Drosophila melanogaster: one gene and its partner. The gene in region 1 interacts genetically with each later gene. Each region holds a gene or a part of one and is shown on either strand. Other genes may lie near its edges. The genes, in order: pwn and Vang.

What was found.
Region 2: of pwn (region 1) and Vang, changing one enhances a phenotype caused by changing the other (phenotypic enhancement), as found in Drosophila melanogaster (one study listed by BioGRID).

What each region holds. Positions count from the first base shown.
Region 1 is NT_033778.4:7,280,717-7,296,199, forward strand, and holds the start of pwn (pawn), read left to right. Parts: upstream 1-1,855; 5' UTR 1,856-3,011; intron 3,012-4,952; 5' UTR 4,953-5,104; coding exon 5,105-5,312; intron 5,313-15,134; coding exon 15,135-15,483. Other genes in the region: Incenp (inner centromere protein), read left to right, coding at 1-421, 578-771.
Region 2 is NT_033778.4:9,097,116-9,113,326, forward strand, and holds Vang (Van gogh), read left to right. Parts: upstream 1-6,122; 5' UTR 6,123-6,460; coding exon 6,461-6,701; intron 6,702-6,768; coding exon 6,769-8,273; coding exon of another isoform or gene 8,274-8,354; 3' UTR 8,355-9,681; downstream 9,682-16,211. Other genes in the region: Ctu1 (cytosolic thiouridylase subunit 1), read right to left, coding at 196-1,021, 1,074-1,231, 1,288-1,335; CG8777 (uncharacterized protein), read left to right, coding at 1,479-1,571, 1,627-1,838, 1,946-2,138, 2,276-2,871, 2,937-3,014, 3,074-3,488, 3,539-3,721, 3,778-3,962 and 5 more; Pgm2a (phosphoglucomutase 2a), read right to left, coding at 10,283-11,891, 11,956-12,057, 12,119-12,279; tsu (tsunagi), read left to right, coding at 13,781-13,841, 13,931-14,367; Mys45A (mystery 45A), read right to left, coding at 14,556-16,211.

The DNA of each region.
Region 1 (15,483 bases):
CGCAAGGGCCTGCACAATCTGGCGGAGGAGCGCAAGAAGCTGCGTGAGCAAAAGCACCAGCAGGCTGCCCAGCAGCGCGAAGCCAAGGAGCGGGAGCGGGCAGAGCGTATGGCCAAGCTGGCCGCCGAGCGCGCCAAGAAGCAGGAGGAGCGAAAGCGAATTGAAGAGCGCAAACGACAAGAGCTGGAGGAGCTGCAGCGGAAGATGCGCCAGCAAGAGGAAGCCGAGGCGCTCAAGAAGGCCAAGTTCAAGGAGCTGGAGCAGCAGAAACTGCAGCAGCTAACCGGCGCCAAGCCCAAGAAGATGCTTCCGCCGCCGCCGAAAACCAAGTACACCTGGGAGATGCTGCACGAAGACGACTCGACAGACGACGAGGGAAAGGTCACCCACAAGCGTCCCCCAGCGCCCACCTGGAGTCGAAGTAAGTTTGTGGATCATTTCGAAGAGTTATTTTCGAGATACCTTATTCATCGTAAATATATACAAGTAAATACACCAGATTACAGTCTGATTTCCATTGGGACTACTAAAGGAAATGTTCTTAAATATAGATTCTGACTTATGTGTTTATTTTCAGGCCACGTAAGGGGAGAGGCAATTGCTATGCAGAGCCACTGCCCAACCGACATCATCGACAGCTTTTTCTCGGTGGCGCCCACCACACCGGACCTAAAGCAGATATTCCCGAACATCGATCCCAGCCAGCTGAAGCGAAACTCCAGCGTGCTGTGGTCCACGCCGCCGCGCTATTCCGAGCTGCCGAAATACTAGCCAAGTAGTCCTGCTCTCTTCTCCCGTAAATGCACATGTTTATGATCGAATAAATAAAGTTAATTGTGAAAATTAAAGCGGAGTACCGCTGCGCGATTCACTGCGACTCTGACACTAATATCCAGCTGCTTTAGAACTATTAAAGCCGCCAGCGTGCTCAATTAATGGTTCGCTGGTGGCTGCTTGCCGATTCCATTAGCCAAGTTGCCCAACAATGGATACGTCGATTCGTGAAAAGTGTGAAAACGCAGAGGAGGCAAGTAAACGAAATAAAAGAAAACAAGCCCGGCAAACACAATTTCACTGGTCATGGGGCATGGTTTTGTGGCATGATGCGCAGACGATCGAAAAGACTGCCTCGATTCGATTCTCCTCCATCATGTTTCCATTGCTGCTAATCCCACTTTTCCAACGAGCCATTCTCATTTTCAATCGAAAGCCGAAATCAGCGGAATCGGCATGGGCAATTGGCACAGTAATTGCTGCTGATTAGAGTCGACTCCATGTGGAAGTCGCCGCGGATCCACCCATGAATATGATTCGATGGGACCATCTTAATCCGCAATCTAATTAAGGCGCGTACGCTCCCCAAATTGCCACTTTCAATTGTTACTGTTTCCGTTTAAGTGCACTCTGTTAGTAGCTCCACTTCCCCACGGACCCAAGTCGATTGGGGCTGAATCTATGTGAATTCCATGTGGCACATTGGATACTCTATCAAAAACTGTAAGGAAAGATAGTAACACATCTAAATGAATAAGCTCTAAAATTCCATCAAATGCCACTTTTGTGATCCATCAGTTTGCAATTCTTTAGAACTTTTGAAAGACCAACTTTTAGATTTTCCCATGTTGGTCTTCCACCTGATATTACAGCCTAACAGAGTTGCCATCAGCATGCCAAGTAAAAGAAACTTTTTGCAAAATACAGCATTTGCAGCTCCAAATCAAAAACCTATTTTGAAGAATCGAACTGAAGACTGGCTGCGTAGTCTTCCACTCGCGGGCACTCTTCCGAAGAGCGGCCAAGCGAGTTGCGGTTTCTCGTTTCTTCGGCTCTGCGCGAAGTCTTCGTGCTTCGCACGAGTCAGTTTGAGTCGAGCGTTCGAACGGTGCGCACCTGTTGACGGTTTTCGGTAGGTGAGGAGCGTGGATTGTGGCCAGAAATTGAAGAAGCCATCGCCGGGTTAGCCGACATCGGTCCCGTGTGCGTGTGTGAGTGCGTTCGAGTCTATGAAAAGTGAATAAGTTAACTTAGGAGGCTCAGGCCAGCGCTGCGCATGCGTGTGAGTGAGCCAGAGAAAGAAATGAGTGTTTTTCTCCAAGTGAAGCAAACGGCCAATATGTAAACGTATGCCGAATAAATGATATTTGTGCGACGCGCGTCTGTGTGTGTAGACAAGCGAAATACATACATACATACATATATATAGTACAAACCCCAAGGCGGCAGCAACGAAAACTTCAAAAACTTTCTTTTTTTCGCGCTACCTTTTTGCTCGGCTGGCTTAGTTGGTTTTGTCTGCGGCCTTTGTTTACTGGGCTGCTGTGAAATTGCTTGCAAATTTATAATTTGTCCGCCGTTTCACTCCCAATTAGAGAGAGCCACTCGGGCCCAGGAGTGCCGAGAGCATTAATTGGGCTCTTTTCGCGCAAGAATCAGCGAGGCTGCGCATCGCGCATCCGCCAGGTTGCCCCAACCGGATACGTGGTCCGCTGCAACCTGTCGGACGGCCTACACACGTCCGTCGACTGCAACGCGACCCGCTACATTGCTCCAGGCCAAGTCCAAGTCCAAGTCCAAGACCAAGACCAAGTATACTGCCCACTCCCGATTCGCGTTCCAGCACTTGATACTGTTAGTTGTGCCATTTCGAGAGCACTTGTGCCAATTTTCCAGGGGGCAGCTGTCGCTTGATTTTGCTTTTCGATTATTCAGAGTTAAGCGTTTTGCATTCCTCGAAGCCACAAAACCGCATTTCCACTGGGTTACCCGGTCCGGTTGGGGCCGAATCCGAAGCTGGATTTGGCTGCGTCGGCCAGATCCTCAATTTGGTGTGCCTTGTCGTCTTTGCAGTTTGCAGTTTGCAGTTTAGGCCGCAACCAACTGGTGAAATTTTCCATTATTGGCGTTATTTATGTGCAAAATCTAATTGAAAATAACGTGCATTAGAGTTGCACGCAAAAACATCAATCAAATCTCGGGGATTTCAATCGTGTGATTAATGGAAACACTTTGAGGTGAGTCCGAAATGGAAAATCCAGATACTTGGTTAACAAAAATCCCAAGAGTCTTGCGTTGGGAAATTGGCAGTACTAATGGATATATCGCACAATTACTTATGCCAACCTTTCGACAGTCATAAAGATCGTGCCTTATGCAATTTTCGATTTCTTGTTTTCTCTTTCTCCGTCGATAAGTCTCAACTCCCTTTTTCATATTTACCTTTTCTTACACCTTCACCTTCCTTTGGCGCTTTGCCGGCTCAGAAATCGGTTACGCAACGGACGAGCTCCGAAAAAAGTGGCTTATGAAAAATCACATGAGTCATTTAACTGAAGAAGACTGAAGAAGGCGAGAGAAATGAAAACTAATTACCAGCCGCAACTTCCGCTGGGTGCTGAGAGTCCAAGGCCCGGGACGAAAAGAAAGCAAAGTTGATAAAACCAACAATTATTCCAATGAAAATGTAAACAACCGCCAGTGTGGGCGAGTCGCTCAATGGAAAAGCACAACAATCCGCTGAAAAGTGGATTCGTTTAATGACAGCCCAGAAAGCCACAGAAACCGAAACAGAAACACAGATGCGAATGGCCCACGAAGCAAATAGAGTTTGTTGTGGTTTTGCTCTTCTGGCTGCTCACGTTGAACTTTCTATTTCACTGGGATTCTTCAAGCGTACAGAGCAGATATTTCAAGGTTCCTTTCGAGCCCGAAATGCGGAGTAAACAAACGCAAAGGCCACAAGCAAAGATCTGCCAAAATATCTCAGACTCAGACCTGGACTCGCGTCATGACTCAACTGCAGGCGGCCTAAGTCCGACCGGTCCGATCCGATCCGGTCTGAGATCACGTACACATATACTCGTACGTTGTGTATTCACTCGCATGCTGCAGAAGCAACCTTTACCTTTCCTTTCCATTCGCTACCTCCGTTGCCGCTGCTCTGGATGCTTTCACTTTCCATCTAATGCCCGGCAATTGCTTCAGTTACTGCGGTTTGCGACACGGGCCTGTTTTGGCTTCTGATTAGCACGCCGGCCATTGGGTAATCTCGGGCAGCTGGCATCGATTAGGGCAAGGACAACTGGCGACAGATTATCTGCTCCAGATGATGGCGCTCGTGCTCCGTGCTCGCTGCGGAATTTCACTTTTGCTTTCTGGCACCTCGAATTGAGACCGGACTTTCGCTGCAGCCAATTTCGGAGCGTCTTGGACATCAATCAAAATTAGCATTTCAATCAGCCGAGTTCGGTTAGTTGCTTGAATGGAACGCTTCAGTTTGCGTAACTGGCAAACAAATCCGAAGTTTTTCTTAAACTGTTTTCTTTCCAGCCGTTTAAACGGCCGGGTTTATTGACTCACTAAGCCGCTGCTTATGTAAATGCTAATGCCACCATTGTGGAGTACTGCCGGTTAATAGGGGATTCGACCCTATGGCTGTCTGACGCAATTTAGACAACCAAAGCAGTACATTTAACTTTTTGGGCCATTAAAGGGAGAAGTGATAAGGCCTATGTATATCTATCTAATATCTATCTAAGATGTTCGGAACTAGAATACTTCATACGAAGTTAGCATTACCATTGAACAGTTGAAAAGATTCTATGAAATCAAAAGACTTAAGGCACGAATTTTATTATTGATTTGAATAAATGAGAGAAAGGGGTCTGCATTCAACCGAAATCCCCAAGAACTAGTGCGAAAACTCTTCCAAATCAAAAAACATCAAAATAAACATCAAAAGCATATTTTACTTTTGTGTGTGATTAGACAAAAACTAATTCCCTACGATATTTGACGCAAGCAGAACACTTTAGCCACAAAACGCATATCATTTATTTTAGTTTTTGTGCTTTTCGACTGCCAACCACTCTCCCAAATCAAAAGACTTAAGGCACAAACCCTAGAATTATTTTCGACCCTAACGCCTGTTTGACCACCTTTCTCCTTCCTTTCAGCATAAATACACTCGGTCAAAGCAAAACATGCCTCGCCAAAGCACGGTTGATCAATAAAACAACGAAACGCCGAAAATAAATAAAGTAAACCCTGACAATAACCCTAAAAGAAGAAAAAGAGTGTGCCCGCGGAACTCGTAGTTTATGCAAACATGCGACGAAAGCCACAGAACTTAACACACTCTATACCATCGAGTAGAGCCGGAGACAGAGGCGGAGGAGGAGGAGGAGTAGGTCGGGGCACCTCCCGGCCGTCAGCAATTTCCAACAATAGAAGGCCGAGAGACCATCGACACTTGATGGCCATGGTCGTGTCGACGTTGCCACTGGCTCTTTTGCTGCTCCTCGTTCAAACAACAGGTAAGTCTTGGCCAGAAGCGGGTACAGTACGGGGAGAGGGACAGTGACATGCCCAACAAAAGAATTTCACATGCATTCAGTTAATAAATTGAACTTTAATTGTGAGGCCTGTGCCAGCAGACAACTTTCACGGGTTCAAACAAAGTGGGAGGATGAAAGTTGAGATAAAGCCAAGATCTTGTGTTGATATTTGCATAGTTTTTTCAATTGATGCAAAATTGACTGGATTTGTCCTCATTGGAAGTTGCCCAATTGGTTGGGAAGGTATATGAAAATCAAATGCACTCTTGTGCAACAAGAACCCACTCCACCTTGCGGTCATCTGAATCGAATCTTCCTACTTTTCTCGCACCTCTGCATCATCCAAGCGAATCTCTCGCACTTGTTCTGAGTGCATCTTATCTCAAATAAGCATATGTTTTCACCGAGGGTTCTGCTCAAGCGAGCATTTAGTTATTACAAGCGAACAGCTTTTTCCACACGTGAGCATAATTTTAATTTTTAATTTGATACATTTCTGAGGAATGTTGGTTCACAAAAAGCAGAAAATCAGAAAGAATTCGCCCGACGTGCCAGCACTTGATGAAGATGCTTCAGTCAGCCAGAGGCATTCCTCGCCAGCACTCGTACGTGATTGTTCTTCTCATTTTCGTCTGCTGGCTTTTAGAAAGCTTGCGTTTGCTGCATAATTTATTAGGCGTTACTGAGAATGCATAGCTTGGTGGGGGGGGGGGGGGAATCGGATGGGTCGGGGTACTTGGTACCTGGTACTTGGGTGCCTACCTGCCTAACTGTGCCAAACGTAATGAAGTGTGCTAACTGTACTGAGTTGGAGGTGTCAGCACCCCCGCACAAGTGCGTTCAATTGTCGAGCACGCCAAGAAGTTAGCTGCTTCTCTTTTTTTTGCCAGTGAAATACGGGCTTGACCTACTAAAAGCCTAGATATGCCATCTAGGTGACACTTTTCGAGAGGCTTTGCAGCCCCTAAACTGGGTCGATCGCATCTACAGCTGGGTTTCTAGTGAAGATCAAAACTGCGCGGCTATGATTCATTGGCCAGTGCCCACGGAGGGTTAGCTCAAGTTGCACAATTGCGATTATTCATACCGGATTCATTGACTTTTGCCTGGGCTCGTCTTGGGTTTTTTGTCTTTGGTTTGTTTGGCTCCACTTCGCTTTGTCGCTTACGAAGTGCGTGACGTGCGTGAATCGAAGCTAATTAAAGTTTATTATGACTTGGGCTGCGTGGCTTATAATCGTTAACTGAGCTTATGCAATATGTGAAAATGAAGGCGTCATCAGGCGCTGTAATTGGGCACGTAAAAACTAATGAGAATGACGGAGGGTAATGTAAATATCATGCATTCCTAACCAGAATCTGCAAAAACCAGAATGCTAAATACACAATTAGTTAGAAGCCATGACTTAAGCAAAGTGGACACTATTATGACAATTCTCAACAATTACGCATTTCAAAGTGATGTCCATTCTAAGTGAAAAACAGCTTGTAAATTTAATTTGCAGATGGTCGATGAGTTAAATGAGTTTATAAATGAATTCATATATTTAGGCTTACATAGGTAAGGATTCTCTGAAGAACTTTCTGACGCCATTTCTACAATTTTTCTGAGCATAATAATTAATATGTCCACTAAAAATTTAAAAATAAAAGCCTTTGCTAACTTTGCTACCTTTTGGCGAATAAAAATGCATTATAATTTGAAACATTTTGATCTGTAGCTAAGCTGGGGAAAATAGTGGTGTGTATTTTAAATAAATAAAAAGCATTTTTTGCAGTCTTTAAATAAAAGTTAAAGCTTTGCTAGGATTTCACTGCTTCTGTATTGTTTGCTAAGCTGCATTGAGTGTCAGCTTCCCATGTGAGCTGTACAATTGGTCCGGAATGGCCCTAACCAGGAGTACAGTGGAGTGGATTTCGAGGAACGGCTGCCATAAACTTATGCATTCCTATGAATACCTGCTATTTCCTCCGCCAGGGGGAGCCACTCCACTGAAACCGCTTAATTGCACGAATCCGGCCAACTGAGGCGGGCAGCTCTCGGCGGGTTGGAATCAATTAAAGCTAACTGCACTGTTTACTGGGCCATTTGAAGCCGGGCCCAAACCTTTCATGCAGCTAATAAGCCGCATTAGCATTGGGAATGGCGTATGGAATTTACATAGAGCCGGGCGGGAAAATTGGGTGAAGTGAAAATTATTTTACAGCAAGCTTAATTAAAAGAAAACAGAATCTCGCGGCGCCGGACTGCTTAGTTATGGCTTAGTGAGACAGAAAGAAGCGCAGCAGTGCCACGGTTAACAGTTACACCCAGCTAACGGCTTTTCGGGGCTTTCGATACGATACTCGCAGCGAATTGAGCCATTGGAGGCACTGGAAAAGTGTCAAAGAAAGCGCCATGAGTTGGAGCTTTGGTGTCCGTCTTCCCGGCTCCGCACTTCCAGCATCACTCAGTCAGCGAATAGCCGACTCAGATCGATGGATTCGATCGGGTTCGGTGGGGACACTGTAACCACTGTAGCTATGACACTCTAACCCGCTGACTTACTGCCGCAACCCGGTGGGTTTTTCGATTTCATTCCCCTTTTTTTTCTGAGCGTTCCCTTTCCCGGAGAGCCCCTCATTATTCACAGCTGCTAAGCTGATTAAATTTTCAGATTAGCTGGTTCCACGGGCAATTTTCCCTCGCATTTTTAGTTCTTATTTTATTTTTCGGCATATTTCGGTTACATGGCCCACTTGCCACAGGTGGCTCCAAAGAGCGAGAGCTGCGTATAAATAATCAAAAATCCACTGCCTGATGCGAAAGAGGAGGAAGAAAGAAGCCGCCGTCGTTGCAGGCTGAGCAGAAATTTATCGCTTGACTCTTAATTGGGTCAAGAGGCAGGTTCGTTCGGCAGGTTTCTCACATATTCTCGATCTTGGTTCGAATTTCTGGGTGTTCCTGGTGGCCTGTTCACCTGTTCACAGACTGGTATTGCTGACGCAATTAATAATTGAATTTTTTGAACGCGGTACAAAAAGATTGTAGCAGCTGCCAGAATGGTCGAAAAAAGGTACTGACTGATTGGAAAGCAGTTGCTTTTCTTTATGTATGTATGTAGTTCTCTTCGGTATCCATAATCTTTAAGAATTCATTGGCCCACCAAAAATGGTAATGAAAGAAGTTTCAGTCTCAGAATAAATCAAGCAACACCAATATCTACATACCAATATCTAAGCAGACCGGCTTTATAGCTTTGGAGGTAAAAACCCTCCAGCAGATTAGTTCTTCGGTTCCCTTTTCACCCAGGCGATATGAGATGCTCCAAGTTCGTAATCAGCTCACATGCTGATCGCCAATAATCAATTTCCAGGTCCAGCTCTTCCCCACCCTGACCTGAGCATTCAATTAGAGCCGAGCACCGACTGATCTTGAGCTGGGTTCCGATTGCCCAATCAAAGCGTGAAACCGAAGCCGTATCAATAACTGCATACTTTCCCTTTCCCGTGAGAAGAGCAGTGGCTCTCGGATCGGGATGTCCAAAATTGTACAATGAAATTCAGCACATCGAAAGTTGCCAGGCACGATCGCACATTCAGACACACACCCATCGGCAGGTAAAGCCAACTGAACCCACAATTTATCTCGTTTTGCGTGTCTCTCCTCTTTTATTTTATTTCTTTGGCCCCTTCCGATCTTCTTTAATGGTCGTCCTGGGGCGCTGTGAACCCATATTAAATTGCGGTGGGCTGTGGGAGAACAGAGAGGCTTGCCGCCCGAAAGGGGGTGGGTTGGGTGCCCTTGCCTGGAGTCCCTTACATGTTTTGGCGTGGACTATCAATGGCAATCAATGAAATTCTCTTTTTGTGCTCTTACAGTATTTTATTCGGGAGACCGCCACAAACCGGTTCCCAATGGAATTTTATAATCGCAGACTCTCCATGATTTTGGACCCAGCTAGTGAATTCGGCCAAAACAAAAAAAAAACATGAAACCCATGTCACAGGAAATGTCTGACAAGAAGCCGTTAGGGATTTCATATGATTTACGCTTTTAAAATTTATACACGGCATATTATAAAAAAATTCTATTACTATAAAATGTAATGGAACTAAACTAAATTACTTGTGATACAATTATAAAGAAGTATGTAATTTATATATTTCCATGTTTTCAAGAACCACGAAGGTTTTCCTATTTCCCATAGCAAAATCGAAAGACTTAAACAACGAACTTGACTACTTCCAGCTTGCAGAGTATATAAATTTCCCTACACATTCCAACCTCAATTAATAAACCAAAATAAAAAGAAATGACAAAAAGAATCAAGCATAAAATCCGTTAAATGGGTGCAGTTAGCTGACTGTCCAAACAAAACAGAGACCCAAATGACACAATAATACCCACGCTCACTCACACTGGTGCAGCTCACCATTTCTATTTGGCACGCAGTTGGAAATAGTCCAATAAAAAGCTGCCTGACTGACAGTTTGTATATAAAGTGGCGTTCTTCTGTGCAGAGAGCCGGTTCTGATGACCACTTGTTGTGGACTCTTATTTGACACACACCAACACACAGGCAGTCCTGAACTTGTCACAGACCATTAAGACCATATTGGCTAGCAACTAGTTTCCGTTTGGCGACTATACTTAAGCCGGCTTCTGTGGGTACAATGACCCAGTTTCGCTGGAGCTGGAGCTGTAAAGATGAGAAATATTGCTATGGGAAAACGCATAGAGAGAGAGTGAGAGAGAGGTATCCATTTACCTTTCAATCAATATGTTTCGAGCTCGGCTCAACTCGGCGTTAAATTTGACGCGAATGTTGGCCAGCGGTTGCCTGGAGCGGGATCATCATGTGTTTTCCATCTCTAATACGCGCTATTACATATCCAGTGCTCCATTTCTCAACAGAATCTCTATAATGGATCATTCGGATCTTGGGGCTCCACCGCCTTCTGCAGCACTGGGTTACTGACCCAAGCCAAGTTATTGACTGCTAAAGTATTCTCATGGCGTGTTTAGGGGGCTGCACCGAATGCGATTTCAACTATTTACCAGCATTCCCCAGGAGATCGTGCAGATCGCTTATCGCCAGCTAAATTGCAGCTAGTTACAGGGCTTAGTCTGGTTCTGGCCCGGCTATTAGAGGCCTCGACTCCGTTCGCTGCCACCTGCGACTTAATTAAACATGAGAGACAATTAGATTTCATAAGTGGAGGCCATTAAATCGGGCCTGGGATCCCTGCGCATGCCCCGGATTGTCTATTGATATCCGAGGATTTCTTCCAGCTACTTTGCACTGCCGCGATTAAAGCCAGCAGAGCGCGTCCAGGCTATAAATTTCCCCATTCAGTTTGGGATTTTGGCCTGGCTTAAACTCGGCCCACAGCAGGCAGCAGAGCGAAACCAACTGCAACAGCCGCATCTGCGGAAGCCTGACCAAAACAGAAACGCAGCCAGACTGCAACCGCTTTTAGCTGTGCCTCCACTTCTACCTCGACTTTGGCTCCGATCTCAAGGCGGTTAGATCAGAGCTAGACCTTGATTAAGGTCATTCGCTTTGGAGCCACGTCTGAGGGCCTAATACAAAGGATGCAGCCTGAGCACCGAGAGAAAATCTATGGTCAAGTAGGAAGATCAAAGAATAAAAAAATATTCCGGAGAGATATAGTTTAAATTTGGCTTTGTCGCTCGATTGAGACCATAGACATACAAAAATTATTTCTCAGTGCAAGCAAAAAATGCACTTGGATAAAATTGTTTAAACATTTCGAACTGGCAGGCACGCGTTTGCAAAGGAAAGACTCTCGTGCACTTCCAAAGGCCAAACGTCATGGTCACGGTGGCTGGAAAAGAAAAACCACAGAATATGGATACGGAAAATCAGTTTTCCAGCGAAATGCTTCAATTTCCCCAGACGCTACTTTGGGTCGAGTGAAGTGCAGGCTGTCTTAGGCTGCCATGTGTCGGCTGTCGTCGTCACTTTGTTAATTGCAGCTCATGCATCTCGGCCCGACTTCCCAGAGACGGAGAAAAGTCTGGCCAAGACGCTCTTCAAGTTCTATCCTGGCCAATTGTTGGTACCAACGACTCTTGAGCAGCAACACCAGCCAGTTGACGGTTTGATTGCACAAGTGCTCGGGACCGGGACACAGATACTTTATTTGCTTTGCTAATGAAAAGCGCGAGAAATGACTCGGCAGCTCCCACGGATCGGATGAGGGTAATCTGGACAGTTCGCACTAGAACCCACTGTTCAACGGCTTTCCCTGGCAATTGGGTTTCACGGGCGACCACTACCTCAGACTTGGCCACGACGCCCACAACGAAAGTGGAACGCCCAGGAAATCAATTAGCACTAAATCAAATTTTTAATGCTCCACTCGGACGTTAGAGATCGCCGAGAGATCCGTGTATTGGATTGGATTCAGTTCAGTCCGTCCCGGCGGTTCTAGCGCTCTGCATTCGGGGCGTGGCTGCTGCGATGGCACTCCAAGATAAGGGACTGACCACATCTCTTCTTTAATGGATGTCTTCGCCGCGGGGTCCGCGGATTTCACAATTGGGCGGCTGAGTTATGTTTACGGGCCAATTCAAAAGATGAAAGAAGCTTAGGATGGGAAAGTATTAAAATAGAGAGGTGAGAGATGTGTTTGTGATTTTTTTCGATTTGTTTCCATAGATAGAAAATAGTGAGCTGGGATGGGACTGAGTGTAATAAAAGATGTAAATGAATCAGATTGTGTTCGGATTACTTGAAAAATGCAAATCATTGCATACATGTGGTTTAAAATAGGTATGTTAAAGCCCTTTTTACTTATTATAAACAAAAAGTATTCGAACTTTATACTTTTCATTATTTTATGCCTTAGAGAAGGTAGGCTCTTAAAAATTTTAACAAAAAACGCCAAATAAGTCACATCATGTTTTCCAAAGATATTTTATTGTCATTGAAATTCGCCTTCCGGCACAACATCGTCATTTAACAGCAATTACATAATTCTATTTATGGTGAAAACATAACGAATTGTCGCCCGCTGCCTCTCCATTAAATGATATTATTGCATAATCGAGCCAGCCTTCTACGCCTGCGCAATTGCACACCGAAAGTGGCCAGGGCATACATGTCGTATGCGCAACGTTTTGGGACGTGTGTTAAACTTTGAAGTCAAAACGGAAAATTGTCGTATTTCATAAGCAATTATTTGCGCCAGCTTTGCCCACATTAGAGGCGAGCAGGCGGACTTAATTTCTGTTTTGCTTTTGGCCACGTTGGGAAACAGTTGAAAAGTGCAGCGAAATAGAAAGTGATTTCTTGTCGGCAATTTGGAGGCGCTGAAATCGCCAATTTAAGTGGAATTGGAATTGGAGTCGTGTTTGGCGTTGGCCCAAAGCAGAAGGAATGGGCGCCCGTGTGGGTTGGTCTGGAGCTGGAAGAGCAGAAAAGAGCCCGAAAAGAGACAGGGCACAAGTCGTGCGTCCTCGCTGGAGTAGCAATCGAGTTAGTGTGGGCAAGCACTGGAACTAATGACGACTGTTGCTGGTGTCCCCATGCCGTTGTCAGATCGGGTGCATTCAACCCAGCCCGTCTGGATTTAATGGCCAAGAGATCCGGACGCCAAGTGGTTTTACTTTCGTTGCGGCCTGGCCGTGAAAGTGTTGCATGCCCCGCTCCGAAATGGAATTCAATTTTCGTTCGCCAAATTGCGTTACACATTTAGCCAGCTTTGTCCATGTCTGGCAGTTTTAGAGCCACCGGCTCACTTTTACCACCACCAACCCAATCAAAAAAAATCGCAATCCCAGACCCACTCACTTAGGCCCGAAATCAATAAAATCAAAAGGAAAACTGGAAAATGAGCAATTCGAAGCAAGGAAAGTGAAAACTGTGTCGCCGCCTTTTGTTTCGCCTGCCCAAAAGGAAGCGCTAATTATATCAAAATCGCAACAAATAGCTGGCGCGAAGAAAGTGAAACAAATATTTTGTATTTTTGTATCAGGGGCGAGCCAGTTTAGCGACAGGTGAAAGTAAAATCTGTGCCAAACTTAATCAAAAAACCACGACACTCACAAAGAGGCCTCAATGCAGCTCGGCAATTGGGTTAAGCTCAATAGCTAAACGTGTTTCTTCGCGCGAGTGTGAATTATGATTGTTGTTCCAACCTAAACTGGTTCTGGCCCAAAAGATGACATGCACCTGACACCCGAAAAATGGGGGAGAAAAGTCCAAAGTCGTAGAAAGCCAACGGCAAATAAATCTCATCGGAAGGTGTCAAAGAATAGCTGGGTCACACTTGAGTGCTCAGTGAGATATGTGTTTACGGTACGGTATGGAAAATTCACAGCTTGAGTGTTGATGGATTCAAATGCTGTGCCGAAGGGAATCAATAAAATGTTTCATTTTGACCTCGTTTACTTAAAACCCATTGTAGGAACACACGAGTATATGTACTACTCCTGGCCATCTATAACATCTCTACATTCAATTATAATTTATAACCATTGCTTTGAAGGCATGCAAAGTTACTCCGATCTGAATGATCAGATCTATATATAGATATATTTATATATGATATAGATTGCATATTCGATGCATTTCTCCCTGTGTGATTGGCGACTGGATGAGAGTGGAAAATTGCAGTAACGATGCGATAAGGGGTGCCCATTCGCGATCTCAGCGATCGACAAGGTGGGTTTGAGTGCTTGTCCCCATTCGATTGCCATCTGCATTCTACAAGTTAACAATCTATATTTAAGTTGCTTGTGGCGGGCTCTGCTCATTTATCTGCCATATCCGAGGAAATGATGAAAATCGGGCAACAACAACTCGGCCTGGCATCTTTTCAACGCTTGACGTAGCAATTTGTGAAATTCTTCCTAGGCTGCCAAGCGAGTGCAGATCTGGCCCGAGGCCACCAAACCAAGTACGAGTATCTATGTGGCCAAGAGCTTATGCATCTGTGTGCGCCGAGTACCCAGGGCAATCAACAATATAACCCTAGCATTGTGACAGATATGCAGCCATCAGCTTGCATCCACACACACTGGGTGCGCAAACCCACAATTTCGAAGGAAAACAAACACAATTATATGCAAAGAGAGTGAAAAGAATCCGAGAGGCCGGGCAGAAAAAAGACAAAGACTGCGACTCAGACTTGACATCGAAAACAAATGATGCCTGGCAAGCCTGCGACAGAGATTGAAACTGATCCGAGCCGACTTTGGATGGGTTGGGCATTGTTTCCCCCCACATGGAAATGAGTCGCGTTGACAATGACGGAGTGGCTGCTGGTCGGGATCGAGAGGGAGCGTAAGGGAAAGGGCAGGTGCATGGGCATGTGAAAAGTGAAACCCCAATGTGAAGATTCTGTCGATGCGATGATGGATTCGAGGGAAAACGAACGTCGGAATTCAACGCTCTTTTCACTCAACTCTTTCCCTTTCTTTTCGTTTTCTTGCGGTATAGCACATTGTACCCATTGAAGTATAAGACCCATATTTTGAAATTGATTTGATTGAATAATTTGAAAAAAGCGGCCCATTAAATTTGATTTCTTATTGATTCGAAGCAAGTGTGGCTCTCTTTTACGACCGAACATAACTTTTAAATATGCATTTTCAATAAAGATGTAAATATCTCTAAGTGATTGTATATTAAGTAGCAATCAATTATATTTACGGTACAGGATCAACGCCTGATGCTAATATTATAATGCCATTGAATCGCCTCGATAAGAATAGATTCTATACTTATACTTTTAACTGTTTTACACTGGTATCATATTGTCTAACATATTTCCTATCAATTTTCTGCAGCTGGCCAGCACGAGAGCGTCTCACAGATCTCACCCAAATCGAGCAGCCACCGCAGTCCGGACCGTCAGAGGATCGAGAGCACCATGGCGGACTCCGTAAACGGTCTGGCCGAAGGCCAATCATCGCCCCTGGATGTGAACGATAACGAAACGCGGGCGGAGCGAGTGGAGCGCTCGGCGTCGCCCATTCTGCATGATCGGCAGCCAATCGGACCCAACGATGTGCACTTCCCTGAGGATCTGGAAAAGGACGTGTCCGCCGGACGGTACTTCCACTACAACATCAAGCCCACGGGCACCTTCGACAACCAGGATGAGCAGCCGGAGCGTACGCACCAGGGGATCAGGGC
Region 2 (16,211 bases), 1.8 Mb from region 1:
GAGCGTCTTGTTTGACTGGTTATGGGCCCTGGTTAAAAACTTGGCACTGAGCTTCATAATGCATTCTAGTATTAATGAAATTAGCCTGCGAAACCAAACTTATCGTTCCTGTTGTTATCTTTTCAGGTTGGCAACCTTGGATGAACACAATTTGTATCTTGTGGAATCACGAATAAATAAAATTCATATGTGTTCTTAAAAATCGTTTTTTACTAAGTTTGCTCGCTCCCGCAATGCTAGTTCCTGGTTCTGCTTGGCAATCATTCGCTCGCCCTTCGACTTCTTGCCTATGCCCAGCTTCGGCAATCCTCTATTTAGACCCTCGAGAAGGACGCACGCCTTGCACGGCTGCTGTGAGGAAACGAAGCCACATCGGGTGCATGTGCCACGCTCGGGCTTCTTTACCGTGTCCTTGAAGCGAAGCTGTTCGCCAGAGTAGATGATGTCCATTATAACCGATGGTCGCACTTTCTCCAAATCCTTGAGAAACGCTCGAGCGTGGCCGCGATACGCATTGGGGGCGAATACGCACTCCGTTGAGAAGTAGACCAGCTTTTTGTAGTGGGCGTACATCACGATTTCTTTCTCGTAGCTGTACTTGAGGGGCTTCACTCGGGGAATGGTATCCTCGCCCCCGCCGGTGCGGATGCTCGTGCAGCGTCGCAGGCGCGCCGTGTCCCCACGGAGCACGTTCATCAAGACAGTCTCCGCAATGTCATCTGCATTGTGGCCTGTGGCTATGCTATCAACGCCCAACAGCTTGGCCCCTCTATCCAAGGCCTGTCGGCGGAAGACGCCGCAAAATGTGCAGTTGTTAGAACGGCCGATCTGGGCAACAATGCGGTCCATGGTCCAGCCGTAGAGCTCCTCGTAGGACAGGATCTTTAGTGGCATCTGGTAGTCGTCACGGTTCTGTTTCACTGTCTCCAAACTGTCATCCCGATATCCAGTGATGCCTTCGTCTATGGAAAGGAGCACCAGTTCCAGACCGTAGTTATGGCGTTCGTTTAGCAGTTTTAATCTGTAGAACACTTGGATTAGAGAGGTGCGATGGGGGGAATGGTACGACATACACGTGCGCTAGGACCGTGGAGTCCTTGCCTCCACTGGCCGCTACGGCCACCTTCTCGCCACGTCGGAACAAGTTGCTGGAGGAGATTGTGTGATGGATCTCTGCCTCGAAGGCTGCGAAGAAGCACTCCTTGCACAGGGCATCGCCGGTTTTGGGTCGCTTTGGGCAAACAACATTATTAGGATTTATTAGGGGCTGTTTAACTTATGAACTACCTTCAAAGCAGCGCGATTTCCGCACTGCGACTTGCAGATAATGTGCATTTTTACTGACACTTAATTAGCACACAATTTAATTAACAGCTGTTGCACCTTATGCAGCAGTGACCAACACTGGCGTTATACAAAATCAAGTTACCCATCACTGTTTGTTTGGAATAGATGAAAAATAAATATAAATATTTACAATGAGCGCCGTAAAAGAGTCAAAAGCCTTGATCAAGGACATTCGGGAGACCATAAAGCTGGGCAAGCATGCGGAAGCCATACCCAAGTGCCAAGTGACGTCACCATAGAACATACCAGTTATGCATCATCCTAATGCCTTTATTGCAGCGCCTACTTAAATCGGAGCCTGAAAATGCTATGGGCTACTTGTTGCTTGGGGCAGCCTACCAGAATATCGACAAGGCGGAGGCGGCCAAAAACCTGAGGCAGTGCATCAAGTGCACGGATGGTCCGGCCCCTGCCGCGCTCCTCGGACTCGCCAACTGCGCGCCCAGCAACGAACTGCCTGAAATCTATGATCAGTTGGCTGACCTGCAACCGTAAGAATCTGCTCGTGACTCCCTGGTCATTATCCATACTCCATACTATCCATACTAGACTTTGTCATAAAAGGACTACTAAAGTGATCTTTACTTTACATTTTTAGAGAACAATCCTTGAACTATTGGGAAAAGCTTTTCAACTTGGCCTCTGACTCAAATGTGGCTCCTTTCTGCTTCACTGTACTTAAAAAGAGAGTGCAGGACACAGAGAATGGAAATTTTACGAAAATTCAGGAGTATCTGGGACGCATTTGGGTTTCAAACGACTTTGAAATTGCGCCCGAAGATACTCAGCTTGTAAGTTACCGTATAATTATTAATTTATTTATTAAAAATAATTTTGAAATATAAAGAATTATAATTGATATGAGCACTTTCATAGCTCAATTTCTTATTATAAATTAGTGCGTAATGACTAATTACACTTTTTTCAGTACAAAACGACTATGGAAGCTCTGCTGCAGAACTCTGAACCCAGTGCAAGGAGCGTGGTTTACAAGCGATACCTGAAGTGGCTTTACAAGAAGCAGGATTATGAGACTTGCGTGCGGCACGCCTGCAATATGACCGAGTCGCATCCCAAAGATGTCTATGGCTTCGAGTGGATATGCAAGACCTACTGCGAACACCACGAGCAATCCGAAATAGTTAGTTGGCAACAGGAGCTGAGGCATCCCATTCAGGTGTACGCTGAGCAGCTTCTGGAGCTTAATCCTAACTCTAACCTTGCTTTGTTGGTTAAAGCCCTGGATCTTTTCGCTGAGGGGCAGGTCGTCGCATCCAGGCAGTTGGCATTGCAGGCACAGAAAAGTCAACCTGCGTACAAAGTAACGCTGGAATTGCTGGCTCGTATCCACATGGAGCTGGGCGCATACAAGTTGGCCCTTCAGCTGTGGCAGGAAATTGGACAGGAAAACGACGCTTATGCTCTATGCTTATCGCACGAAAAAGGCGTTTCAAAACTAAGAGAAGCTGTCACGATTTTACAAACGCTTGAAAACTCCGAGGGCAATATTAAGTCTTTGGCTCGGTGAGCTTTTTATCAATAGTATTTGGTTTAATAAAATGCATAACAAGAGTTTATTTAATTTGCAGCTGCTACTTCAAGCTGGGCGAACTGCACTTGCTGAAAGATTTGCCCTTGGATGATCTGACCAAAGCAGAATTTGTTTTGTAAGTAGGAAATCCAAAAATTAAAGAAGTCAATCCACCTTTTCCATCTGCTATACTAGATCTCCATCTGAAGCTCTTCAAGAAATTGCTGACTGTAAGACTTTTGAGGCATACCTACTTTGTGGCAAGCTGCATATGGCGCTGAAAAACTATTCAGACGCTCTAAATTATGTGTTAAAGGCCACTCGACTGCGCCCACACTTTGCCGAGTGCTTTGACTATCTGGGCAAGCTGTACCCGCTGGCCACTGGGGACTTCTCACGAGCCCGCAAGTGCTACGAGAAGTGCATAAGCCTTAATCCCCTCGCTGAGGAAGCTGTGGATGCCTTGAGCTTTATCTACCAAGAACAGGGCGAGGAGGAACTGAACGAGACCCTGCTGCTGAACACATTGAGCCATTTGGGTAGCAATGAATCAATTCGATTGCAGTACAAGCTGGGTCTGCATTTCTCGCATGTGAAGAAGTGGGACAGTGTAAGCAATTGATTATCATTGATGAATCCGATTTAACACTTTTATTGCAGGCAATACAATGCTTTCGCATTGCCATTAAGAATGACTCCCGCTGCATTAGCTACTGGGAGTCATTGGGTGATGCTTATGCGGGACGCGGCTCGTACAACTCGGCTATTCGAGTCTTTCAAAAGATCCTTGAACTATCTCCGGAGAATAATTATGCCCTGCTTCAAATAGCTTCAGTGAAAACGGTGCCACATTCCAAAATTAACAAGAAAACATAAATAATTTTTACCCCATTTAATAGACAATACGCATGTACACTGAATCTATTGAAGATTACGATACGCTGCTACAACGTAATCCTACTTACCTGCCCGGACTTCGAGGTGCTGCTGAAGCGCATATTGGCATTGCGAATAGTTTGAAGAGCCAGAACTTGTACGGAAGATCCAAAGCGCATTTCCAATTGGCTCTGGAACACCTTCAAAGGTATTAGCTCAGCCAGCGATTTCGTGTATCTGTTGATAAGTTTTATCCATTCCTTACAGCGCCTTCCTTCAGCGTGAAGCTCAAGGAATGGTTTGGCTATGGCGCCTCTCAGCTAACATTTTCGTTCAGACAGCCCAGTTGCCGCATTCGTTGGCCAACTTGGATGTGGCTGGAAACCTAGCCAAGCGCGAAGAACCCATTGCATATCTTTCACGCAAGGATCTTCTACAGCTAGCTCAGCGCTTCTACTTGTGCGCCTTAAAACTGAAGCAGAATACGTACCTGTGGTACGAGCTATCGTTAGCCAGCTACTACAGTGCCATTCTCATACCCGAGGATGCAAACGGCCACTTAGAGACGGCGACTAAGGCGTGCAAAATGGCCATTAAGGAGTGTAGCAACAGATGGCAAAATTGGAATCTTCTCGGAGTTATCAATATGAACTCCGAAAATGAGAACTTGCCATTGGCACAGCACTGTTTTATTCAGGCTGTAGTGCTGGAAAAAAAGTGCTACACAGCGTGGACCAATCTCGGAGTTCTCTATATTAAACTGAATGAAGTCCGATTGGCCAACGAGGCCTTTACGAGAGCCCAGCAATCAAGTCCCGTGTACGCCAACGCTTGGATTGGACAAGCAATGGTTGCGGAGTTGATTGGCGATCGCGAGGAAGCCTTTGATCTGTTTCGTCACTGCCAGCAGTTCGATTACCATCCGGAGGCGGCGCTTGGATTTGCGCATTGGGTGTGCGAAATGCTGTCGACTCCTGGATCTTTCGACAAGCCGCGCATAAAGCATGCCATCGAACACATGTACGCTGATGTGCTTGCGCTGGATGCCATCAATTGGTAAGTATTATAGTAATGCCCTATCTAAAACCAACTAAAGACTTGCAATACATTTAAGGTATGTGCAAAACGAGGAGACGGATGCGACACCAGCATCGCTGTCGTTCCAGGGATTTCTCTACGCCCGGAAAAACCTGTATCGCCAAGCAATCGAAGCCTTCACTCGGGCGTGTAAGTTGTGCGAACCTGGAGCGGATCGTGACAAGCTCTACACGAATCTGGGATACCTGTACTTAAAAATAGACCAGCCGGAGCAGGCGGCACACGCCCTAAACACGGTTGCACATGCCACATTTAAGCCGATCATTGGCCTGGCCCAGGCATATTATCTAGCCGGTCAGTTGCAGGAATCCTACTCTATTTACAACTCCGTTCTCGGCAACGTGGTTGATCATGGCGATGACAAAGCAGCTACCATCCTCGTGGCTATGGCATCCATGATTTACGACTTTCAGGGCGAAGCGGACACCAAAACCCTACTCTATCAGTGGTTGGTAGCGCAATATTTGTTTTGTTGATTCAACATTTCTAACGTTATAATCACCAAAAGTGTCTTGTTGAAGGAGGTCCCCATTCAGGCGTTGTTTTCAGCCCTTGCCCTAGGTATACTTCATAGAGATAATGCGTTGATCCATACGATACTGACGGAGCTGAATGCGTACGCCTTTAAGAAGGAGTATTGTGCCGACATATCCTATTTAACGGCTCACTACATCCTGATAAATGTTCGTTAAAAGTGGTGAATGTTGTGGTTCTACAAAAGTAATACTATGATTTTGTTTAGGAGGGTGCCCGAAGAGCGTTGTGCTATCTACAGACTCGCATACGAATGTTTCCCAATTCCCGAAGTCTGCGAAGTGTCGTGCTAAAGTTTCTTCTTGATTATTTCTCTGATGACCAATCCTATCGACTGGCTACTTCAAATATGGGTCGAATAACTCTTACTCTGGGACACACTAAGCAACAAAATAGGTAAGACTTGGGAATTTATATACATTGTATTATGATAGACTGAATTTGTTTATATTTAGCATCTTGGCCAGCGAAGAGGCACTGACCACTATATATGCCAGTCAGGCGGTTAGTGCAGTAGACAAAACCTGTTCTATGAAGTTGTTGCAGCGCGCCATACTGCTAAGCCCAACTGACCAGAGAGCCAGACAATTACTTTCCGCTATTATTGCAAATTCATGATATTGTCCAACAAAATAAACTTACTTTAAAATTTAAACTATCAGTTTGGCGGTTGAATTGCCAAACTGATAGTGTTTGAAAACACTAAATGCAATGTGACCGTGCTGCTGATTGTGTTGCGGTGGTCACACTGCGTCGGGGGTGAAGCCAAGTCCACGAAAAAGTGAATAAAAAGCGAAAAATGTGCGAGAAATAGTTAAATAGCGTATGAAATAGCCATGCAAGACACGAATAGTGACAATGTGCCGCAGAATTAGCCGCAGATAAAGCTCTAAATCGCCTATAGGCTATGCACTGCGCCCTGCATACCTGCGTATGAAAAACCTGCTGCCGCCGCAATTACAGTTAGACACTAAAATAGCTGCACGGCCAGGTTGCAAGGTGATTTGGGGCACGTCTCTTCGCGAGCAGGAGATTCGGAATCGGGCATAGCTCTCGCGCGCTAGCCCAATTGCAATGGAAAACGAATCCGTCAAGTCGGAACACAGTGGACGCTCCAGACGCTCGCGGAATCACAACAACAACGGCGGAGGGGGTGGCGGCGGAGGTGGTGGCGGAGGAGGCAGTGTCAACAACGGCTATCACAGGGAGCGGGACCGCTCCAGACATTCCCACCGCAGCACACACTCCTCGAAGTCGGCCAAGGGATTTCAACGTGGCGACATGGCACCGTACCAGACCAGCGTTAATATGACAGGTGAGTTTGTTTAATGGCTCTATCGGTGGAAGGAAACCAATTGACCCATTTATTATTTGGGCACCAGGAGACGGCAGCCACGATGGCCAGGAAGTCATCGAGGTGCAAATCCTTCCGCAGGACGAGAACTGGGGCGAGAATACTACCGCCGTCACGGGGAATACCTCGGAGCAAAGCATCTCAATGGAGGACATAAACAACATGTGGCATCGTGAGAGCGACAAGGGCTTCAGCTTTGCGTGCCGCCGATACGTGGAGTCGAGCTTCTACTTCCTGCTGGGATGCGGAGCGTTTTTTTCGCCAGTGGCAATGGTGGTGATGCCGTATGTGGGCTTCTTTCCGTCGGCCTTCGATCATCCGGAAATAACGCAAACTGTTCGCACCCAGCTGCTGGCCTGCAGTGAGCAGTGCAAGGGCCAACTGGTATCGCTGGCCGCCCGGCTGCTGCTTCTGGCCATCGGCCTGTGGGCAGTGTTCATGCGACGTACATCGGCCACCATGCCACGGATATTCCTATATCGCGCTCTCGTCCTCCTTCTCGTCACCATCTGCACGTTTGCTTACTGGCTCTTCTACATCGTGCAGGTCACAAACGGGGCCAAAATCGTTGTGGAGACGGGCGGCGATGCCGTGGACTACAAGTCACTGGTAGGCTATGCCACCAATTTTGTGGACACTCTTCTATTTATTCACTATGTGGCCGTGGTGTTACTAGAGCTGCGACACCAGCAGCCTTGCTACTACATCAAGATCATTCGCTCCCCGGACGGCGTTTCGCGCTCCTACATGTTGGGTCAGCTGAGCATCCAACGGGCGGCTGTGTGGGTGCTACAGCACTACTACGTGGATTTCCCCATATTTAACCCTTACCTGGAGCGCATCCCAATATCGGTCTCCAAATCGCAGCGAAACAAGATATCAAACAGTTTCAAGTACTACGAAGTGGATGGGGTGAGCAATTCGCAACAGCAAAGCCAGAGTCGAGCAGTTCTAGCAGCCAACGCGCGGCGCCGAGACTCCTCGCATAACGAGCGCTTTTACGAAGAGCACGAGTACGAACGTCGTGTGAAGAAACGGCGTGCCCGTCTTATAACCGCCGCCGAGGAGGCCTTCACCCACATCAAACGCATTCATAACGAACCGGCTCCGGCACTGCCGCTCGATCCGCAGGAGGCTGCCTCGGCGGTTTTTCCCTCGATGGCCAGGGCGCTGCAAAAATACTTACGGGTTACGCGTCAGCAGCCGCGGCATACCTTTGAGAGCATACTGAAACATCTGGCGCACTGCCTAAAGCATGATCTGTCGCCCCGCGCCTTCTTGGAACCCTACTTGACCGAGTCTCCGGTGATGCAGAGCGAGAAGGAGCGACGCTGGGTGCAGTCTTGGTCCCTGATCTGCGACGAGATCGTCTCTCGGCCAATTGGCAACGAATGCACGTTCCAGTTAATTCAGAACGATGTCTCCCTAATGGTAACCGTACACAAGCTGCCGCACTTCAACCTGGCCGAGGAGGTTGTGGATCCCAAAAGCAACAAATTTGTTCTTAAGTTGAACTCCGAAACATCCGTATGACACCACCACAACGCCCCTCCAATCAACACTCCCACTCATAGCAACCAGACGCAATCGTCCTACTTGCATGTGTTTGTCTGATTTTCCCAGCTACTAATTCACATATTCACATATTTTCTTTACTTCAGCCAAATCGATGACGTTCTTGTGAGAACTGCCATCAGGGTAATTGAATTCATTTTTATATATGCCTGAAACACCACAACCAATCAAACCAAGCAATCAAAATTACTTATCAATGAACAAGAGGAGCATTTTTAAATCGATCAAAACCCTGAATTTAAAAAAAAAAAGAAAAAAACATGGAAGTTTAGAAAGGAAAAGTTGTTGTGAGAACAAAATGTCTAGGCAGGCCTCAGCAGCTAAATTTTGATCTTGTAACAAATGATTATTAGATGAGAAGGCAACGTACTTATCAGTGCTAAACTTGAACTTATGACCCGAATATCAAGAAACAATGCTCAAAAGCCCAGTGTATCATCCTAAACCGACGCGAACATATCACACCCTTTGATAAGCAAACATGACTTACAAGTTCCCAAAGTATTAATTATAAGAATGATGGTTTGGCTTGCCGAACCGCGATCTTCAGATATCAACTCTTAAATGCAGCTCTTTTATACACGATTTTTATTTTAGTAAATATGTTTAGTGTAAAGTTGGGCTTACTCTTCGCGGAATATCTAAAATTTTACCCGATATCTGTGAGGCGTGAGCCCGATCGCTAGCCTTAAGAAGGAATGGAGTGAGCCAAGGCAAGCCCATGGAATTTTAGCTAGGACTCGGACTTGCGTCGAAAGTGCATTGGCCACTTTTGACGCGACTTAATAAGATTTTACATACGCACATTTTAAGCCGAAACCGAATGGTCCTAACTCTTCTGCCACAAAGTTGAGAAACGACGAAACAACTATAACTCGAATGCAACTGATGACAAATACATAATATAAGCGAAGACTGCCTGAATATGCATTTTATACACACAAATTGCCAACAGCCACTAGCAGGTGTATGTACTAGCCTGTGCATAGCAACCACATATATACAAAAACTCGTGTATTTTTAGAGACAAAATTATAGTGATAAGGACCCGAATTCGTATTCGAACATGTGTACGTTCCAGTGAACCCAATCTATATATACATACATATATGATATATACCTATTTACAAAACTACTTAGAAACGTTTGCTTGAGGTTTGATTTCATTTTCGTTTTCTAGCTAAATGTCTTCTGTCGAAGCTCTTTTATATTGCAATTATCTAGCAATTACTTAAAGCAATTGGAAAACCAACCTAAGCATACATACCATTTATACATACATTTACTCTCAAACTGTAACTGTTGTAATTGTAACTAGCATAAAAAACAAAATGCGTAAATAAATCAAACCCACTTCTTTAACAGCTTTAAACGAATTGTTCTATCTCGAAGGTGACGCAAATCGTGGAAATGCGCACGTAATTAATTCATTCTTGGGGGTCTTTTGAATGTCTGAAAGTTGCCTTATCAGCTCGGGATTAACAAACAGTTCCTATATTGATTATTGAGCCCAGCAGGTTTACCAAATCGCACTGAAGTATAATGTATGAGTAGATTTAATCGCAATCAATCAAGTTTCAAGTTCTTTGTGATACAAAGACTCGAATGCCTCTCGAATTTCTATGATAAGAGTAATAAGCTCAATTAATTCAAGTGGAGTGAGCACGATGGTCTCATTTCATAAGCTACTTAAATATCAAACTGAGGAAACCCATGATTTGGTGCCTGGTGGTGGATGGTGCGTTCGCTTTTATTTACATTATTTCATAAATACTAGCCAAATGTGAGTGGAATACTAACATATCAGATATCCTTTAAACAATAATAGGCAACAGCTTGCGCTGCTGTTGTTTTTTGGCTTGTGCGTCGTCAGTGCTGTTGGTATAGAACTTTCAATTTTAGACAGGTCTACGTGTTAGATCTTTCGTCCCAGTCGCCTAGCGTATCCGCTTAAAGGTGCATTCGGATTATTCCTTCCTGCGCTGGAGGCCGTTCTTGCTTGGCTCGTAGAATTCCTCGACAATGGCCTCCACCATGGTATTCATTGTATTAGTCAGCTTGGCCCAGTTTTTCTCGTCCGGCTTGCCACACATTTCGGCGTAGTACTTCATCTTGGGCTCCGTGCCGCTGGTGCGTAGAGTGACCACGAGTCCGTTTTTGAAGGTAAATGTGATCATTTGGGAACTGGAGCTGGTCGGCAAGGTGGCCTTCTTGTCGCCAGTGCTACTGTCGAATCCCGTGGTTAAATCGCGAACGTTTTCAATCTCGTACTCGCCGTTAAGGATGCTGGTCGGATAGGTGTCTGCCTTGCCCTCGTCCCAGGTGCGCAAGCGCTCAAAGATCTGCTCGATGACCGGCGGGCAACGGCATATGACATAGGAGCTGACAGTCGTGTGGAACCCATATGTTTCGTAGATGTCGCGCAGTTTCTCCTGCAGTGTCATGCACAGCTTGCACCGAAGATAGCACGCCATAGTGGCCAAATGGCCAGCCGCGCTGACACCATCCTTGTCAAGTACGGTGGTGCCGACCATGAAGCCGATCGCCTCTTCGAAGGCAAACAACACAGTTTTTCCCGCCTGCTGTAGCTCGATTGCCTTGTTACCCATCCACTTGAATCCAGTCAGCGTTTCGAAGAACTGGAAGCCTTCCCGCTCGGCCATGGCCCTGAGAATCTTTGAGCTCACCGTACTGGCTATCATCACACAGTTACTAACATCGCAGTCGGGTTCTCGCATTTTGTGCAGCTCCAGAGACCACCAGCCCAAAAGAGCGCCCACTTCGTTGCCGCTGAACAGCTTATAGCTACCATCCTCGCGTACTTCGGCAACTGCCAGGCGGTCGGCATCCGGATCGTTGGCTAAAATTATTTGGCTGCTGTTGGCTTTCGCCGTTTTAATTGATAAATCCAACGAGGTCTTTCCCTCCTCCGGGTTGGGCATCGGAGTGGTGGGGAACTCTGGGTCCGGCTCCTGCTGCTCGCACACCGATATGAAAGGCTTAAGATTGATTCGGGCGAAAGCCTGCTTCACAAATGCATAGCCCACGCCGTGCATGGCCGTATAGGTGAATGAGAGAGAGCACCTTCCGTTGGCCTCCAGCGAAGTGCAAGGCAGTTGTTTCTTCAGTATATCGAAATAGGGCGGCACAACGATATCGTACGGATCCTCCAGCATTGTGTTCGAGCACATCGCCGAATCGTCCCAGGATGAGCCCTTGGGCTCCAAATTGTTTAGAATCGACTCCTGTATGCCCTCGTCGTGCGGCGGAATGATTTGGGCTCCATTGGTCCAGTACACCTTGTAGCCATTGTCCTCCTTGGGATTGTGCGAGGCGGTCACCATGACGCCGGCCAAGCACTGTAGCCTCAAGATGGCAAAGGGCACCATGGGCGTGGCCACGTAGCGCTTGAACAACCACACCTTAAAGTCGTTGTTTAGGAACACAATGGCCGAGAGCTCGGCGAAGCGGTGGCTATTGTAACGACCGTCATACCCGAAGACAATGCCACGACCGGACCAGTCCGCCGGATCAGGGTACTGTTCCTTGATGTACTCACATAAGCCCTGCGCCGTCCTGTAAACGAATTAAATTAGTCAATGATCCGATAAACTTAGAGATAAGATAAGATCAAACTTACTGAATCACCACCAGCTCGTTCATGGAGTCAAAGCCAGCCCGCATGCAAGCCCTCAATCCGGCCGTGCCGAAGCTGATGCGGGTGCACAGTCTCTTGCGCAGCCTATTTAATCAGCGAATTAAGAATATTAAGCCATGAATCATTTTGTTTGGATTATCCTTACGTGTCCCAGTCTTTCGCCCGAACTGCGTCCATGATTTGGCAGGCGGTGCTAGCGCATTTGTCCCATCGAATCCACTTGCGGATCTCGCCATCTAGCTCCGGATCGCCCGAAAGAGCCATGTTCTTGATCTCGCACAGCATCTGGCCGCCGGATTGACACATGGTGGCTGAGGTTTTTTGGCCAAAAGATCTATTTAATTTTATGTTGAATTTAGATGAATGCCGAACGGGAGCGGAGAAAAGGCAGCACTCGGTTGCTGACAGTGATGTCACAGCCCGGCAGCAAAGAAAAGCACACTGAGCTGCTACTGATGGGAGCGCAATTGAAGATCGACCGATCGACGTAGTGTTAGCCTGATAAAGTTCGCTGATGCGGCCACATACACATAGTCAGTCTGCCACGCCCCTTTATAAACATACGGCAAATTTTGACAAAGCGGACCCCGGTCAAATTTTTTTTATGCCGTGAGTTTGAGATGACAACGTGACTGGGCGATAGTGCGTCTTTTAACGATGGCATATTAACGTTTATATATGAAAATTAATAATAAAATATTTGTACTTTTATCTTTAAACACAGGGCAGATATAAACAGTCTAGTTGTCTAGCAAGTCTAGTTCTTAGTTTAGGCAGTTTTAAATTCAATTGGCATGGGAAACGGCAGAGAATGGGTTTTTGACTTATAGGCTGCAAGTAACCACTATTTGTGGATTGTTTTATATAAAGACCTATGTTTGTTGAAAATATGAGCAAAGTAACATATAATCTCGCAGAAGGAATTAAATGCGGCATTGTAATTGTGGGTTATGATGCATTTGCATACCCTTATTATTTCAGATTTTGGTAACTGAAATGAATATGTAGATGCATACATGAATCTTAAATCGCATACATCGAGTCGACTTTTTCGACATTCTATTCAAATACATTAATATTTGTATATGATAAATAAAATACTGAAAATCGAGTGACTAAAAGGATTGGATAAAAAAAATAAAAATATTAGGTTTGGGACAAACAGCGTCTGCAGTGTAATAATGCACGCTTTTCAAATGGTACTGGACCGAACTTATTATTTTTAAAATATACGCTGAATGTCAGCTGTTAATAAAAATTAATGGTGCCCTCAAATTATGTTTTACAAAAATATTTTACCGACCGATTAAGCACACAATTTTTAGCTCCGTCTTTAAATGTTCTATGTTAAATGTGTTAAATATATGTTAAAGAATTTTCAATGCCTATAACCTATAAAGCTAGAGTATTAATTTGAAAAATACATATTTGGATAAAACGCACCTAATAAGTCTACTTTAGATGGTTACAGAATAAAAAAGAACGGGAGAACTTAAGTATTTTGAAAGTCCAATCCTCCGGATCTTATTATTTTGCTAAGGTGATTTTGGCTGATACAATTTACCCTTAACTTCAACATATTTTATTAAAGCCAAGCTAATTAATTAAACATTGTACATTTTCGGAACATTTGTGGCCAATGTAAGTATTATTTTCCAAACATCCAGGCGATAGTATTCCTAACGGAATTAACCAACACTGACGATAATGCCATCTCCAGCAGAGTTTTTGCAACTGGCCAGACGCGGAACGAAAACGAAATAAAAATAAACCCATTCATTCTGCTTTTTAGACACAGAAAAAGAAAATGGCCGATGTGTTGGACATTGACAATGCGGAGGAGTTCGAGGTGGACGAGGACGGTGACCGTAAGTAGCTGCGGCAGGCTTTGTAATCCACCGGTCTTATGCTTTCTATTTTCTCCCACGCCGCGCCGTGCACCCTACGCTCAAAACAGAGGGCATTGTGCGCCTGAAGGAAAAGGCGAAGCACCGCAAGGGACGCGGATTTGGAAGCGACAGTAACACCCGAGAGGCGATCCACAGCTACGAGCGTGTGCGCAACGAGGACGACGATGAGCTGGAACCTGGTCCACAAAGGTCCGTCGAGGGCTGGATACTGTTTGTCACCTCTATCCATGAGGAGGCGCAGGAGGACGAGATTCAGGAAAAGTTCTGCGATTACGGAGAAATCAAGAACATTCACCTGAACCTCGACCGGCGTACTGGGTTCTCAAAGGGATACGCTCTCGTCGAGTACGAGACCCACAAGCAGGCGCTCGCCGCCAAAGAGGCCCTGAACGGTGCCGAAATAATGGGACAGACCATTCAGGTTGACTGGTGCTTCGTTAAGGGACCGAAGCGCGTTAAAAAGTCCGAAAAGCGTCGCAGATAAACGACTCCCAGCCCCAAGAATAATTTTTTAAAATAGTTTAATGAATAGGCAACCGTACAAAGTCTATATGAATTGAAATAAATCAGATAACTCTACCAACTACCCTTTATACAATCAATTGGTTAGAATTATATATCTTATATTGGTATTCATTTAAAGCACTACGAGGTTTGAAACGCAAGAAGGTACTACTTCATCTTTTTCTGATGCAGCAGATGTTTTCTCAGCGCCTGCTGCTTGTCCTTGAAGCTCTTCTTAACCTTGGAGCGAGCCTTGTGTCGCAGCATGCCAAAGTTCTTGGTTTTGCGCTTCTCGCGGTTCGTCTTGGAACAGTGCTCGTTCACGCGCCCATCCTTCCAGCCAAAGCGCTCGCGATCCTGCCGGCCCGCCTGCACAGTCTCCAGCCGCGACTCCTTGTCGTGCTTGCGCTTCTTGTAGATCATCTCGATGCTGTTCAGCTTGACGAACTCGGCGCGATCCTGTTCAAGTGGTCTCTTGCGGGCACTGGTTACGGTCTTCTTAAGATTAGCCGCGTTGATGCGCTTGAAATCTTCGTCCGTGAATATGCGAGTAAGAGCCAGTTCCTGTGCAGCCTCCTTTTGGTTAAGGATCCTCATATCTTTCTTTTCCTTCTTGGCCTTTGCGGACTCTTCGCCACTTTCCACGCCTTCGTCGGAATTATCTTCATCCTCATTCTCCTCGTCATTACTGTTCTCTTCGTCTTCGTCTTCGTCATCATCGTCCTCATCCTCATCTTCGTCTTCTTCATCATCGTCCGCTCCACCACCCTCACCATCACTGTGCGCCACGTTAACCCATTCACCATCGTTTGAGTCCGTATCGTCTTCGCTCTCTATGTCAATAGTCTTAGAGTCCTTGAGCAGAGCCTCTGCACCCAAGACAGTGTCGTGGACTTCGCGCTCTCCGTAGGCTCGAACCTTTCGTTCGGCCTGGGCCTCTGTCTGCCTGCCTCGGTCCTTTTTGTGCAACAGGGCAGGCAGCTGTTCCCTGTAGAGTGTGATTAGCGACCGTGCCGCCATCATCACCGACTTCTCCTTGTACGTTTTGTACATTGCCAGGTCCTGCAGCAAATCCTCGCCCATGGCCAGGGGACATCGCATGCAAATCTCACGCGTCGCATTCAGACCTATGGCCATCACATCGCTGGAGTTGCGTTCAGTAATGAAGTTGTTGGCGATCGTCTTTAGGATAGGCTCGATGATGTCTCCGGGAACCAGTTCGTGGGACGCTTGGGCGGCAAACTGGAGCACACGTGTCACCTGGCGTTGGTGGGGTTGCAGAAAGCGTGTTATGTACGGATAGAAACCGAAAAGGAAGAGGTCGTGGATGCCGATCAGCCGGGAAATAACGTCCAAATGCATTAGCTTCACCTCAAATCGCTCGTTGGTGGCCTGCAGCTGCTTAAAGAGCCCTTCGGCCATTCCCTGCGGATTGTGCACCAGGTGAATGCCTGAGAAGTTAAAGGCTGGAGCGTTCTTTTTCTTTTTCTGGGCCTTCACCGCTTGCTTTTTGATCTGCGCCAGTTGCTTGGTCCGCTTCTTGGTTTTCTTATTGACTCGATTGGCCATCAGAGCACCCTTAAGGTCCACCTCGTTCTCGCTGTCAGTGTCCTCCTCTTCATCCTCTTCGTCGTGGCCGAGGAAGAACTTGAGCGAGGTGACCAGTACTTTTGTTACCTTAGAGAAGCACCCCACAGTGGCTATGACATTCACCGTCTTAGAATCATTCCATATGTTTTTCTTGTACAGCTCGATCATGATATCAGCGGACATCTTGGCTGCCTTCGGATTGGCATCCTTCAGCATGGAGTACATGAATGCCTG